3 linked regions of the Drosophila melanogaster genome follow. The gene in region 3 interacts genetically with the main gene of each other region. Each region holds a gene or a part of one and is shown on either strand. Other genes may lie near its edges.

Region 1 (4,867 bases), on a different chromosome or scaffold from region 3:
ATGGAAATTGTTGGTGATGCGTTTCATGGTCTCGGACAACTTGTCGCCCAGCGTAGACAATTTGGCCTTGTCGTCCTCCATAGATTTGGAGAGATCCATCAAGTAGTAGAGATCCACCGGATATCCCTCCGCCTGGGAATAGCTAATCTTGATGTTGTGTTTCTCATCTAAGGTGTATTGATAAGCAAGTAAGGGATTAGTTTGTAGGTCACATGGATGATGCAATCGTTTGCTACTCACTGACGCGCAATGCGAGTCGCATGGACTGCGGTTGGATTTGGACAATTTCGCCGGCAGAGTACTCTTCGTATCCGCTGGCGGAACTGGATCCCGAGGAGCTCTGCGAGTAGAAGCTCGACGAGCTCGAACTCGACGAGTAGGAGCTTGAGCTGCTGCCGGACATGGCGGAGCCGCCGCCACCAGCCGCCAGTTCAGCTTTGTATTGATTCGTTAGTTTGTTGTTCACTAGAATCTGCTCAACTGTTATCGGACTGTAGGCGAACTCCTCCGGACACAGTGAGCTGGTGTTTTGGTAGCACCGCGACTGGCCCTTAAAGTCCGGCTGCATGCACCAGGCGCAACCCTCTGTCTGGATGCAGGTGTGACACTTTTCCTTCGATGCACATGTGCTCACTGCCGTCAGTTTGGCCGCCTTCTGGGCATCCGTTTGTCCAGCGATGGCGGCCAGTATTGCGATCATGAGGAGGGCCAGCTGGCACCTCCGGTTTCTCTCGAGGATCATGGCTTTGGCGGTTAGCGGTTGGTGCAGGTTGTGGATGATTCGGGATGCAGGAGGATCGGATATCCTTGGATGTGCCAGGTGCTGTGTGTGCTCTGTCTCTGTCGCTTCTGTGCGCCGGCTGCAATGGTAAGTGAATTAAAATTGTTGGATTTAGCACTAGATGTTAAGTAAGGGGCAGAAATTATTATAAAAGCCATTCCTGGTTCACTTATATTTCTAATGCTACATATTTTATATTATTTTTTTTTATATGCCTTAATCTTTCATTTATTTTTAAGACACAATTTGATTTCTTCGATTTCGCTGCAATTTTTACGAACGCCGGTGTACGTAAAAGTCCAGCTGCTGACTGCACTGCTTGTCGAGCACTGCTTTCTCCGCGTGCCCTGCTTTTTTCTTTATTGCAACAACAAACAACAGCAAATGGCCGCACATCTGTCCCCTTTTTTTGTTGTTTCTTTCGCTCTACCTTAATGTTTAATTTTATTTTCTCATCAACTTGGCCAGATGACTCATCTCACAAACACACACACACACCAAGCGATTGATGTACGAACTTGTGTGTGGGTGTGCGTGCCTGCGTGCTTTTGTTGTTTTTTTTTGTTGGCCTCCGAAAAGAAAAGGAAAAAAGCGGAAGGAAGAGAGCTTTCGATAAACGTCAAATGCAATGCGAATTACTCATTCGAGCACGTTCCGTTAGCACGCTCTCTCGCTCTCTTGGCTCCTGGCAAAATGTAAACAAAGGCCGAACGAACAATGAGTGGTCATTGAGTCAGCTTCGCTGGGTTTCCTTTCCGCCTAAAGCCACATGAATCACTCACTCCAAGCCACTCAAGACTCAAATCAAAATTCCATATGCACGGAACGGAAAAAAAAGGGCTGCAGATTACGTATACGTATGGGTGTTGTGTTGGTCGGCTATTTTTAAACGCCCACGCACACACAACACAACGAACACTAACACACCACAGAGCTTGATTTGCAGCAGATCGTGTGCCGAAAGGAAAACAAACTAAAAACGACTAAGCCCATGTTTATATACCCTTGGATTGAATAATTTCATTCGATTATCATTTATACACCCAGTCACAGCATATCAAAGTTATGAGTTGTGCACTTAGTAGTAGTTTTAATCAGTTTTTTAGCTAGCAAATTCGTAATACTATAAACCGCCTGAGTAAACAGCATCTGCAGCGCATAGTTTCAACCACGGATGGACGCCCACAGCCATTGGGCCAAAAACGAGGCACATCTGGGCCGCCCACATGTGGGCGTACTGGTTAAACCAGCGGCGCGCAGAGGATTTCATTTTTTTTATTGTTTTTTTTTTGATAGCTTTGGTAAAATTGGTTTTTACTTCCAGTTACAGTTGGTTTCAAATTCGGTTGGCTGTTTATAAAGTGGACAATTACCCCGAAAATCTGGGCAATCCCCTGACAAACACAAATTCCTGCTGCTGCCACTGAGCTCTTGATTTTTGTACGCTCTTTTCGCTTCTGCCTACGTACTCTACTCGATTTTTAGTTCGAGTGCAAGATCTCCGGGGTGGGGAAGTTGCACTGAAAAGGGAGGGGGCGTAATCAGCAATTGGCGTCGCGAAGTCGCCGATATGCACACTCAAAGAAATAAATAAATATGATGAATAATAATAACAAAAAAAATGAAACGAGTGAATGTATCGTGAGGATTCATTATTTTTTTTAGCTCAACAAACAACCCACACACAGATACGGCGTTCGGTGTGTGCGTGCCTGTGTGTCGTCACTGCGAATGAAATCATCGAAAAAAGAGGAGATAAAAGTAGCGCTTCGATATTGCTTCCTCTTTTTTTGGGCAAATGCAGCCCGGAATCCATTGATTTCTTACGTAATACCCACTATTTCACCCGCTATCTGATTAATCGCAGCACTTTGGCTTAACTTTCGCTGCGTTTTCGCTGATAATTCGCGATATTAATTTCCATCAGGGCGGCACTTTTCTTATTTTGATTTGCCTTCTCGCACACTTGTGGAGTTCCCACTCACACGCACACACTCGCACACTAAACACTAGCACTGTGCACACACGCAGTTATTACAATTACTTGCCACCGTTATTCGCTAGATCAGCGAATTTAACTCTTATCGGGTGACACGAAAAACCAAAAAAAAAAATACAATTCGACTGCAGAAGCAGCAGCTGAAGGCCGCCAATTGGTGTCGGGAATTGGATTTGGATTAAATTAATATTTACTGCTTTGCTTTGTCCGCGGATCTGGTCTGTTGTTCAGTGTTACCAGATGGTGTCAGCAGGGGGTGGAACAACAGTCAATGTTCTTTCGATATTTGCCATCCGATGTTCGCCAGTGTTGTTAAATAGCTCTGGTCACACCGAGCCTAGGAACAGTGTTGCACAGTTTTGGAGGACTGTGTCTCCGCTAAAAGAGACATTTGTGCTCGCAAACACAATCCGATAAGTAATCGAGAAACACGTAAAGGAACTCTGGTTATCGGAGTCACTTATTGCACGATAGTTTCAGACAAAAACGCCTGCTTATATCGATGACAGCCTTGTTTTTGTTGCGCTTACGTTACGAAATTAATGTAAAGTAGCCGACGAATCTACGTTCTACCAGTATAAATGGATTAAAACTAACAACAGCATAAGTGTAAACTGCTGGTGAATTTCCCAAATAGCCATATGAAAAAGCTAAAAGTACGTGCAAATGGTTGAGAAAAGGAGAGAACGAAAGCCACTATGAGTTTGCGAGAGTATGTGTGACTACTTTGCTCTCTGGCTCTCTCTATCACACACACTCGCACAGAACGCTCTTCTCACATGCTCTCTCTCGGCCGGTAGCTCTAGCTGTCCCGCTCTCGATTTATCAATAAAAGCAGTGCGTTAGAGCGGCATAGCCGCATGTACCAAGCGCGTGCGCCTCGTGCCCGTCGGCTGTCCATGTGTGCGTGTGTATTCGCATTTTCAGTAATTTCGAAAAAAAATTTTGTATATTTGATGGCGACTCAGAAGAAACTCGCGCGTTTGTCGAAAAATCGTAGCGCGTACGTATATATCGGTGTGTAGAAATTACTAAAAATTGTGGTAAAAAATGGCAAAAATTATATAAATTTGTGTTCGAAGTGGAGTGCTAATTGCGGGGGATCAGATGCGAATGGAAAAATGTTGAAATTTATAAGATTTTAGCGCCAAAAAATGCATTTGAAAAATGTGAGACTTCAATGGACATGACAAATTTTTTTTTTCATTTTTTTCGGTGGTGGAACAAAAGCGAACGAAAGAGGAGCAAGAAGCAGAAACGTTCGTCAGTGTGTGTGCGTGTGTGTGTCGAGTGAGGGGGCATGAGCATGAACGTGTGTAGTCACCAAGTGAATAATATTAACAAATAAAAGAAGAAAAAACGAAAAAAGAGGAATACACACGCAGAAGCGCGCGAAAAGTTTCACTCGAAATGAGAAAAAACAAAAGCAAAATATACTAGCGCTAGTTGATTTTCGCTAGCAAAAAGAAACCGACGTGCACATTGAAAATCTATAATTTTGTCGATTTTGTTATTGTATTTTTTGATTTTGCGGTTTTGCGGCGCCGTCGGTAACGTTAGCATACCGTTACGTGGCCTACGTAGCGTGGTGACGTACAGAAGACGCTTACGTTGTGGGTTACGTTACATTTGTCGCTGGGGATTTTACTCTTTCTCCCTCTCTTTACGCCACACTCATTCTCTGGCGCGCGCAAATCCAAAAATCTCGAGAAAAAAAATAGTGCCCGATGTGACCAATATTTTTTGTTTTTATTTTTACAGTTGCAACTTTTTAACAATCGTGTACAATCTGTATGTTGTATATGTTCAATTCAAAATTCAGCAACAATAGCAACAACGCAATTCAGCAACAACAACAAACAAAACCGACAAGCTAAACTTGGCTAAGACAAAATCAACATCCAGCGGCAGCGCGGCCATAAACAAAGCCAAAATCAAAAGTCATTCGGATATATACATATATTCGCCCATAATAGCGAATAAACAGTAACAGAACGAGTGGATTTAACGAAACAACAAAAAGAAAAGAAGAACGATAAAATCCAAAGGAAAAGTAAGTTTAAAAAGTGCAGCGCACGTGGCGTTTA
Region 2 (4,607 bases), on a different chromosome or scaffold from region 3:
AATGGCTTCCAGTTGAGAAGAGCAAGAAGAAAAATCTACAGCTTATTGTAAATCATCTGGGAAAAGTGGCTCAGCTTGGAGTGCCAAGGAAAAATCAATACTTTGGCCAAGCCATTCGTTTGGGAGATGAATAGTTTGCAAAAGGAAGTATTTACATCAAAAGTTAAAAAGTAAAATAATAAAGGATTAAATTTCAATTTTCGAACTTAAGCAAATTTATGGATTTAATACATTTAGGAACAGATTGTCGCGCGTGTAAATATCAAAACTCGGAAAAGTCCACTTTCAGTTTGAAACAGCTGTTGCGAAAATGGCTTGCAATTGTCAGGGGAATAAGGCAACACGATTTCAAGTTAAAAAACTACCTTACTATTAATACGACCCTCGTCATGTATTCTCATACATAGTTATGCTTTTTGTTAAAAAAAAAGTTCTACCACTGAGTCTGCGTAACTATTATAACCTGACAAATGTTTTTCCGGTAGTCTTGAGAAAATCCCGAATGCCACCCGATTGTGGGTCCTATTGTGGTAGGACTTCGTCGACATGGACATAAAAAAGCTATTAGAAACGGCAAATGTCTCCCAATAAGTGGGTGTGCGGAAAATGCGGAAACGGGGAGGATGTAAAGAAAAAATTATGCAGCTTGGCAGGGCAAATAATGGAAAAGTATTAGACAAAAAAATGAGGCAAATAAAAATGTGCGTGAGTGCGTGAAGGGCAGGAAAAATGCAAGGGGAAATGCGGAAAAGTGGAGGAAATGGCAATATGTCAGCGGGGGTGGGATAACGGTGTTGTGGGTCGCAATTTCAACCACTGTGCGGGTGGCAGGGATAAGGGTGCCACGAGGAAGGCCGAAGGATAAAGGATGATGGAGAGCACGAATGCGGATTGAAACCGCCCCAAGCAGCACAAAAACAACAGCAACGCGTGCTGCTCTCTCTCTTTTCTCTTCTCTCCTTCACTTTTCTTTCTCATTCATTCTCCTTCTCTCCAGTAAACAAAAGCAGCGGAAAAGCAACAACAAGTATGAAACTAGCCGGCAATAACAACAATAATTTCCTATATAATCGGAAGAAATGGAGGAAAAAAGAAATTGGCTCAATTGGAAAGCAGCGTATATAGAGGAAGGGCGGGGATCATAAAGAAGGAGAGAGGGGGAAAGGGAAAGCCGAGTGGACTGCACTTTATGAACAATAAATACAACACTGTGCAGCCCAAACTGGCAGATAAATCAAAACTTACATGATATTTACAAAAGAGATTTAATGGCAAGAGCACGCTTAAAAAAGCATTTTTTTATTGAAAGTACCCCCATTGAATAAGTTTTTAGTTACTGATTTCTTGAATGTCCTTAAAAACTGTTGTATGGAATATCAAAAGATTTCATCACGAATTGAAATGATTGTGGTGGATGTGAGATAACACAACTCTGAGCAATTGGCAATACAGCAACAACAATTTCCATGTATAATAAGAAAAGTCACAATACTATGATGGAATTTACACCTGAGTTTGGAGGCTGCATGCAATTTTTTACAATTAGTGTGTAAGTGAATGGGACCTCCAAATGTATGCATGTTTGTGCATCCTCTGACTTTTATATGTATGTTACACAACACTTATACAGATCGATTTGGTCCAGATGATTTCTACGATTGATGCCTTTTTAACTCAAACTACAATGTGCAAGAAAATAATTCTAAGATCCAATGTAAAAGAAGAAACACCAATGAGAAATAAGTCAAGCTTACAGAAATCGAAACACAAAATGATCAAACCACTAAATAACTTCGAATAGAAAACAAAATTTTAGTGCACACCTAATTTTATAAAAACGATTTTGATTGAGCGTGCACTATGTACAGACGTTTTTCGTTTAATTTGACTTAACAAGGCTTTCAAATTTTGAAAATATGCTTTTTGCTCTGTGTACTTAGCATGCTTTCGATGCCTGTTTTCCAACACTTGCAGGAACTTACCGTTATGCTCGGTGAATATGTTGAGACCCACGGTGGGATTGCAGCGTGCATCCTTGTGTCCGCCACTACGCTGGCTCAGCCCCGATCCGGATCCGCCACCGCCTCCGCCCGATCCGCTGCCACTGGCCACGCCGGAGGACGAGGACTTGATGCGGGAGCCACGGAGCGTGGAGCCCCCGCCGAGGGGGGCGCTGCTGACGCCGCTGGAACTGGAGATGCAGTGGGGGGAAACGGAGGCCACTGGGCTGCTGGAGAGGCCGATGCAGCTGACGGGGGCCCCCGAGCCGCCTCCTCCCGAGTGGGCGCCCCTGTCCTTGCCCTGCTGAGCCCCCATTTGCCAGTGGGTGGTTGGGTGGTTTTTCGCTCTTGCGCAGCAACAACAACTTGTACACTTTTCTCTCTCTTCTCTCGGCTCCTGCTGCTACGGCTTATTCGCTTACTACTACTACTTATTATTTGCTTTGCTTTTCTTGTTATATACTTCAGCTTTAACTCTTCTCTCTTGGCCTTTTGCTCAATTATTTGCCGTTTTGCCTTTTGCTTTGCTTTAATTTATTTCACACACACACACGCACACATTTTTCTTTCTCTTTCTGCGTTTTTGGAGTAGACAAAAAAGATTGGAGACACTCACGCACACACAGAAGTACACACGCACGGAGGAAAAAGGAAGTTTGCGATTTATCTGATTTGTTGTTCTAGTGGCCGCTCAGGTGCAATTGCGAATTTGCAGCATGTTGGTAAAATGTTGTGTCGGCAAACTTCTTGTCGACGGCTGGGAGGCTGGGTGAGCTTAACTGGCGAGGGGGGTCTCAAAAACACGCCCTGAAAATGCACTTTGTCTTGCGCCTCCGCCTCTGGCTTCACCTCTCTCTCTTGCTTACGCTCGCCTGCTCTGTTTTTTACGGTTTAATTGATCCGCAGGCTGATCCGCTGAACATGGCAAATTAATCGGTTTTCGCGACGATATAGCTCTATCTGATCTGCTAGCGTTGCTTGCTGATTTATCTACATCTGTGCATTTTTTCCACGCACCGCGACGGATCGAATTGGAATCCAACTTGCACTCGTGTGACCGCTTGTCGGTCGTTTAAACATACCCTACTTGGCAGCATACCGATAGACGTATCGATATTGATAATAAATGCTTAGTACTTACGAACGCGTTGGCAGCGCTAGTTTGGTAAGAAACTCGGCTAATGCAATATGATGGGTGCGCGACACGGACTGGTTGGGTGGTTAACTTAGCTTAGTAAGCCAGTGCTTAAAAACTCCATGATTGTGAACACTAATTTTTGGTTGTTCAAAAAAAAATTAAATTCAAACGTTTAAAACACATAATTTGAATTAAAAGAATCTTGATATAGCTTTCTAGGAAAAGTTTATTCTCTTTAGATTTTCAATGCAATGCAACTTATAACATTATCTTTAATTTTTCATGGATACACTTCGAATTTTTTCGACTATTGCGTCAACCCTAGTTTAGTTTATTGATTTTAAGAGAAAACTGACTCAAATCAAAATGTAATTGACATTTAAAAACATCGAATAATCAAGCTACGGTTTTTATAATATGCCTTTAGATGTATTCATAAATTCCCATTTAGCCCGACTAATAAATACAACTGCAATACTTTCCATCCTTTTCCGTTTGTTACGTTTTATTTATCCGTTGGTTTTGTTTAGCATTCTCAATCTTTAGTGTTCTTGCTTAGTTATTATTTAGTATGTATACCCGACAGAAATTTCAAGTTTGTTCGTTTCAATTTCTCTCTCCTGCTAGAGTTCAGTATCAATCGATCCTTCTCTCCATTCACACGATCCTCCTTCAGCTTCTGCTCCGATTTCATTTTCAGTTACATTTTCCTCGCTTACACTAAATTAACTTTTCAAGTAGGACTTTTGCTTTTCATTTTCTCGGTTTTGCTCTTTCACATGCGATCTCTTCTGTTCTGTTCGCTTACAAGTATAAATATAATTTAATTTTTCTCTGGTTATTATTATTTTACGTTCTTTTTTTTTTTTTTTTTTGTTACGTTCAAGGACTTTCTGTGGCTTTGTTAAGTTACCAAAAAGCAGCAAGAAATTTGAAGGAATATTCAAATGCATTTAACACAGGTTAACTAAATAAATGCCTTCCCCTAACAGAATCGAACTTTTTGTATTGCAGCATGACTGACACACTGGTTAAAACTATACTGACTGACTGGAATATATGTTAAAATTTCAAAAATATTTTATTGGTGACTATGACAATGCTTCGACTTAATCCAGTCAGTCAGCAACATTTTATCAGACGTCTTTTCGACTGTTATAAATATTGTTTGTTCTTACAGATTTGAAAACAGTTTATTACTTTACAATAACAATTTGCGCTCTGGATCTTGGAACAATAGACTAACTTAGTGTTTTGTTATTGGTTGGTATTCCGTTTTCACGTGTTTAATATTCCGTTAATATAGGTTTTTATAAATATATATGCGTATAGACTTAGAAGTACAAAGTTCTCAGACCCCAACTACAAGTGATTTTAGGAAAACAGTTCTCCAGTAAATCAAATTCAATTTCAACCAAAAATGCCTGTCGTTCAAGTATCGCAAACTGTGCGATATCCAAACTGAAGGC
Region 3 (4,889 bases):
AAAAGACACGTCGAAGACGAGATAAACACAAACAAAACACTTGGCACCCAGCCGGGAAGGGGGCGTGGCTGGGGGCGCAGCCATCGGAGTGTGTAATCAACACTTTTATGTGATCCCCAATCCAATTCACAACTAATTACCAAAGCATCGATGGAATAGGAATAGGAATAGGAATTGGATTTGGATTTGGAATTGGCCTAGGGCATCGCTACATCGGCATGAAAATGTTGAAGGTATGGGGAGGGTTGGGGAATGGCATTTGGATTTCGATTGGGCATGGAAATGGAAATGAAATTGGGTGGCTCTCGCAATTAACGCTGGCATTAAAATCAGCCCAACGATTCCGTTTCCAATTATTTATTACACTTTCTGGTGCCTTTTATGCTGCTGCTTCTGCTGCGCTGTGCAGTTTGTTTAAACAAAATCAATCTAAATCGATTGCGCTACATTTGGAAAATAGAGACGTAAATCAATGGGCAGGCGACGGAGATGGAGGTGGGTCTGACCAGCCAACCAGGGACTACCAGAGATTAAAGGGCCCTCGGCGTGGCGATAACAAAGTGGTTTGTCCGCTGGAAATTAAGGCAAGCTGCGCCAAGTGAAGGTGCCGCGGGCAATGCCACCAAAAGAGGCAAGTACGTGTGCGTACTCTAAGTACATACACTGGAATTTACAGGGTATCGAAAGGTATGTACGATGGAGGAAAGGAATGTTTAACGGCTAATTTATAATCTTTGCTTCTCTAGGTCATAAAAATAAGTAATTAGACCACACGCCATATAAAATATGAATGGCCTTTTAGTATTTTTATAAATATGAAAATACAGGTAAATAGCTAGGCGAAAGAATACCATATATATAAATATCCTTTTGTTAGGACTTCATTTGCGTCACATCACCATCTGTTTAGTAACGTGAAATCCACAAAGGAAATAAGTTCTTAATTTATGCCGCCCCAATAACTTCATACATTACATCCATTAGTAACCAAAAACAAATCCGAATGGATTGACACAAGTCAAGAGTATCGATTAAAATGCTTTTATTGGAGCAAACAACAAAGGTTATTGAAAGTTATAACGGAAAGTTGTCGCGACTTAACTTCTGGCATGTGCACCTTTTATGATAATGTCATTGCGTATATGCCCCCGCCCACACTGTACAGAGGATATCGGTTAGTCGTGACTCCCGATCCCACGCTCCCTCCTCCTCAAGTGTTTATTTACACTTGTCTTATTTCTTGTTTGGAGTCTTTGGCGTGGTATCTTCTTCATTTTTTTGGTTTTTTTTTTTGTTTTAAGTAAGCGATTAGTGGCGGGAGACAATGAAAATTTGTCACTTGACAAGGCAAAAACAAAACGATTTCCATTTGCCCGACGACAAATGAGACATAAGGCAGGCACATAAGTGGATCCCAATTCTGCCCCTTAAATGCCAATGTATTGGAAGTAACAGCCAAATCAACAAAACAATCGTCTTGAGAGGACGTATGTGTGGGATGGAATGGTTCGGGATGGTATCGTATCGTATGGTATGGTATGGTATGGGATGAATCGGAAGCCCGCCCGCACACGCACTCGATGATTGTTATTAGTACATTTGCTGTGGAGTATATCTAATTTGCCATTGATGTGTGCATTAAGTTTGTACTGGGCGGCATACGGCATAGGAATTGTCGTAAAGCATTAGTGTCCCCCGAGATTAGAGCGAATGGAGGAGATAGGCCGAGGTGGAAAGGGGCCATGGCGGAAAAAGGCTGGCTCATCGCCCTTTTATTTGACATTGGGCAATATTTATTGCGAACTCATTTCAATGCTGGCAGAAACTAGGAAGAAAAGCTGACAGCGAAAAATGTACAGTGAAACCAGAATACCCTGGGCTCAGAAAATGTTACTATAAATACTAATGGGAAACCAAAGATGTTGTGGTTCTAATTGATGACATAATAAGATTATGTACATGAACTTATATATTTTTCAATTAGCAATTTGAAGGGGACTTTATACATTTAAAAATCAAATCACCTACGTAAGTGTAATATTTTTCATGTGACTGAGGCACACGATAGTTCCTTCTAGCCAGATGCGACTGTAGAAGGATAGCGCAGGCGACAGGATACGCAATACGAACAAAGCGGAATGGCAAAATACGCCATCAAAATAAATAAAAACAGGAGAAAACAGAACTGAGCGAAGGCGAAAACAAATTCGGTAGCACAGCATTCGGGGCTTTGGGCGGGAAAGAGATAGAACGAGGGGAGGGTTATACGTTACACTTCAACGTTACCGTTACGTCCCACCCAAAATGTAATGAAATCCTTTGTGTGCGTGTGCTTACGTGTCGGTGCGTGTATGTGTGTGTGTGTACGTTTTTGTTTGTCAACTTTGGCGAGGCGGGACATAAAAATGCTAATACAAAACACTAGAGCAAATTGCAGCAAAATAAGTTGTGAGTGGCGGCGGTGGAGGTGTGTGAGTGGCGAGCGAACTTGGCACCAGCTAACTAACTTTGCACGCAGGATTATCGCAAGGACACTTACCGTTTTAATCAGGCGAAAACACCGCTAATCCAATCGTAATCGTAACACCCACACAGACAAAGAAACAAAACACTAACACAACAAAGACACTAATTTTCGGCACTTTGCAGACGGAATTTAAATTCGACTTTTGCGCTTTTCTGCTGCTGCGATTTGTGCTTCAATTCGATTCGATGCGATTCGCGCAGACAAACGAAATTCAGGAATTTCAAGTGGAAATCTCGTTTGAGCACTTTTCGACCTGCGACTTACGAAGACGGCGCGGCAGAAAACTTTGGCCTTAACTTGGCTTTAAAATGGCCGTGCAAATGTGGATTGGCTAAGAACGCGCGACTTCAATTGCCAATGCACACTTTATGGTTTTTGCTTAAGTTTGGCAATTGCAAATTCTTTGCTCACCGGAATCTTCACTCTTGGTTTATACTATAATTCTTTTTGGACGCTCTACGCGACGCGATTGAAAGTGATGCGTGCGTCTGACCGCTCTCGTCGCCGTTCGAATTTTTTATGTTTCTGTTTCGCTGCCGAGCAGTGTTACCAGATGCAGGAGTAACCTCACCCGGCAAGAAGGGCCTAAAAAATACCGCGTTCGCCAACAGTTTAAAAGTTTCTTGTTCCAACTTAAATTTCAAATATTATGGTTAATAAGGGTCCAAAAACTCGTTCATTATTAAAGTGTTGATAATATTTTCATGAAAATATATATTTATTTAAAACTTTATAACTATCATCCCAAATTATAGAGTAGTTGTACTACACACATTGGCTTGTATAAGAACCCTTATCACTTGCTTTTATATAGGTCTCAATTGTTATTTATGTATTTCTAGCATTAAAATTACTAATTATAAGTAAAAATAACGGTATCAATTATTGTGTGAACTTCACAAAAGTTCTAGCCGAGACTCAACCCATTTGAACTGGTTCTTTGAACCAGCGCTGCCAGATATTAAAATAATAACCGCCAATTCGTGCTGATTTAAAAATTCCGCGGATTAACTTTTTTGCAGGCCAATCCCTTTGGAATATGCAAGTCACAAAGAAAACAAAAGAAATGGCGTGACATTTTAATCGAAATATGCAGCAACTTCCTGGCCCGCCTCATTAGGCGCCTTTGTTGGCTACGCCATCCTGGACTTCCGTTTATTTTCACTTTTTTTATTCAACTGGTCACGTTTGTTAATCGGCTTAGGGCCCAAGTACGTATTCCCTTAAATAGCTGACCCTCGAGAGCTGGGCACGTAGGAGGCCTACTCCATTGTTGGGATAATTTTAAGGGCAACTGTGCAGACAGGCGCGATCCGTAAGCCTAAAATATATGTGAAATGGAATTAAATGGGGTGGGTTGGATCGAACTGGGAATACCGGTTGTAGGGATCAAAAGAGCTCACACTTGGGAGTACCAACTAGTTGTTTTCGTTATTATTCGCATAACTACAAGGTAATATTCGTATTTAGATAACTAGCGCTAATCAAGTCTAAGAAAGCAAGCGGATATGTGGATCGCATAAGAGTTACGCTATGTACGGTACGATATTAGTCAGTTAAATCACAGATGTATTATTTCGCGCGCACTCCTCCGCCTGTCCAGCCTCCAATTCGAGCTCCAGCTCCACACCGGGCGTTCTGTCCGGTGGCTCGGCATTCAGCACAAGATTCTCTATGGATCGGAATGAGGCGTCCTCCAAGTGCGTGGACATGGCGGCGGTTGGGGGGCGAGGCAGGGTGCTGGCAGTGACCAAATTTCCGCCTCCCTGCGACTGGCGATGTCGCACCGAGGAGCGCAGTATGGTCACCACATCCTCCGCCGTATAGGGCCGCCTCTCCAGTGTCGAAGCACCCGAACGATGCAGTTTCCTGCCCAACGATTGCGAGCGTTGGGAGTAGCCAACGGGTCGCTGGTCGATCTCTATGGACTCGGGACTGCTGCTGGAAGCTGGCGAAGGATCCGCGTTGAAACTACTGCCAGCCGGATTGGTCAGTATGGTTAGGTAATCAGGCGGCGCCGCTGGCGAAGCAGACTCCGCATCGAGGGAGAGCACGGGTCGCGTTCGACTTGAGTCTCCGAGAACCCTGTGTCGATAAATTGGTCGTAAATAACTTTTTGTTTATATTAAGGGATGGTTTTTATGTACCTTCTTACGCTGCGGCGAATGCTCTGGCGCAGAAGCTTGGCAAGGCGGGCTCCAGTGGCCGTTGTGTAGGACGGAGGTGGTGTGTACTTTGGCGGAGCATCGTTCTGTGCATCGTGTTGGCCGCCCTCCGTGGTCTGGCCCAAAGCATTACGACGACTTTGGGACGCCGTTTGTCGAGCGGATGGACGACGCGGTTCCTCTCCCTCCTCGGGCGG

Evidence for each region. A genetic interaction does not mean that the proteins touch.
Region 1: of sli (region 3) and mys, changing one enhances a phenotype caused by changing the other (phenotypic enhancement), as found in Drosophila melanogaster (2 studies listed by BioGRID).
Region 2: of sli (region 3) and Abl, changing one enhances a phenotype caused by changing the other (phenotypic enhancement), as found in Drosophila melanogaster (4 studies listed by BioGRID).

The regions. Positions count from the first base shown.
Region 1 is NC_004354.4:8,059,833-8,064,699, reverse strand, and holds the start of mys (myospheroid), read right to left. Parts: upstream 3,056-4,867; 5' UTR 2,975-3,055; exon of another isoform or gene 2,620-2,974; intron 861-2,619; 5' UTR 743-860; coding exon 241-742; intron 168-240; coding exon 1-167. UniProt on the Drosophila melanogaster protein: Integrin alpha-PS1/beta-PS is a receptor for laminin. Integrin alpha-PS2/beta-PS is a receptor for Tig, wb and Ten-m. Contributes to endodermal integrity and adhesion between the midgut epithelium and the surrounding visceral muscle.
Region 2 is NT_037436.4:16,644,828-16,649,434, forward strand, and holds the start of Abl (Abl tyrosine kinase), read right to left. Parts: upstream 3,056-4,607; 5' UTR 2,317-3,055; coding exon 1,983-2,316; intron 1-1,982. UniProt on the Drosophila melanogaster protein: Arm and Abl proteins function cooperatively at adherens junctions in both the CNS and epidermis; critical for embryonic epithelial morphogenesis regulating cell shape changes and cell migration.
Region 3 is NT_033778.4:15,919,100-15,923,988, forward strand, and holds the start of sli (slit), read right to left. Parts: upstream 3,020-4,889; 5' UTR 2,540-3,019; intron 1-2,539. Other genes in the region: bdg (bedraggled), read right to left, coding at 4,084-4,612, 4,675-4,889.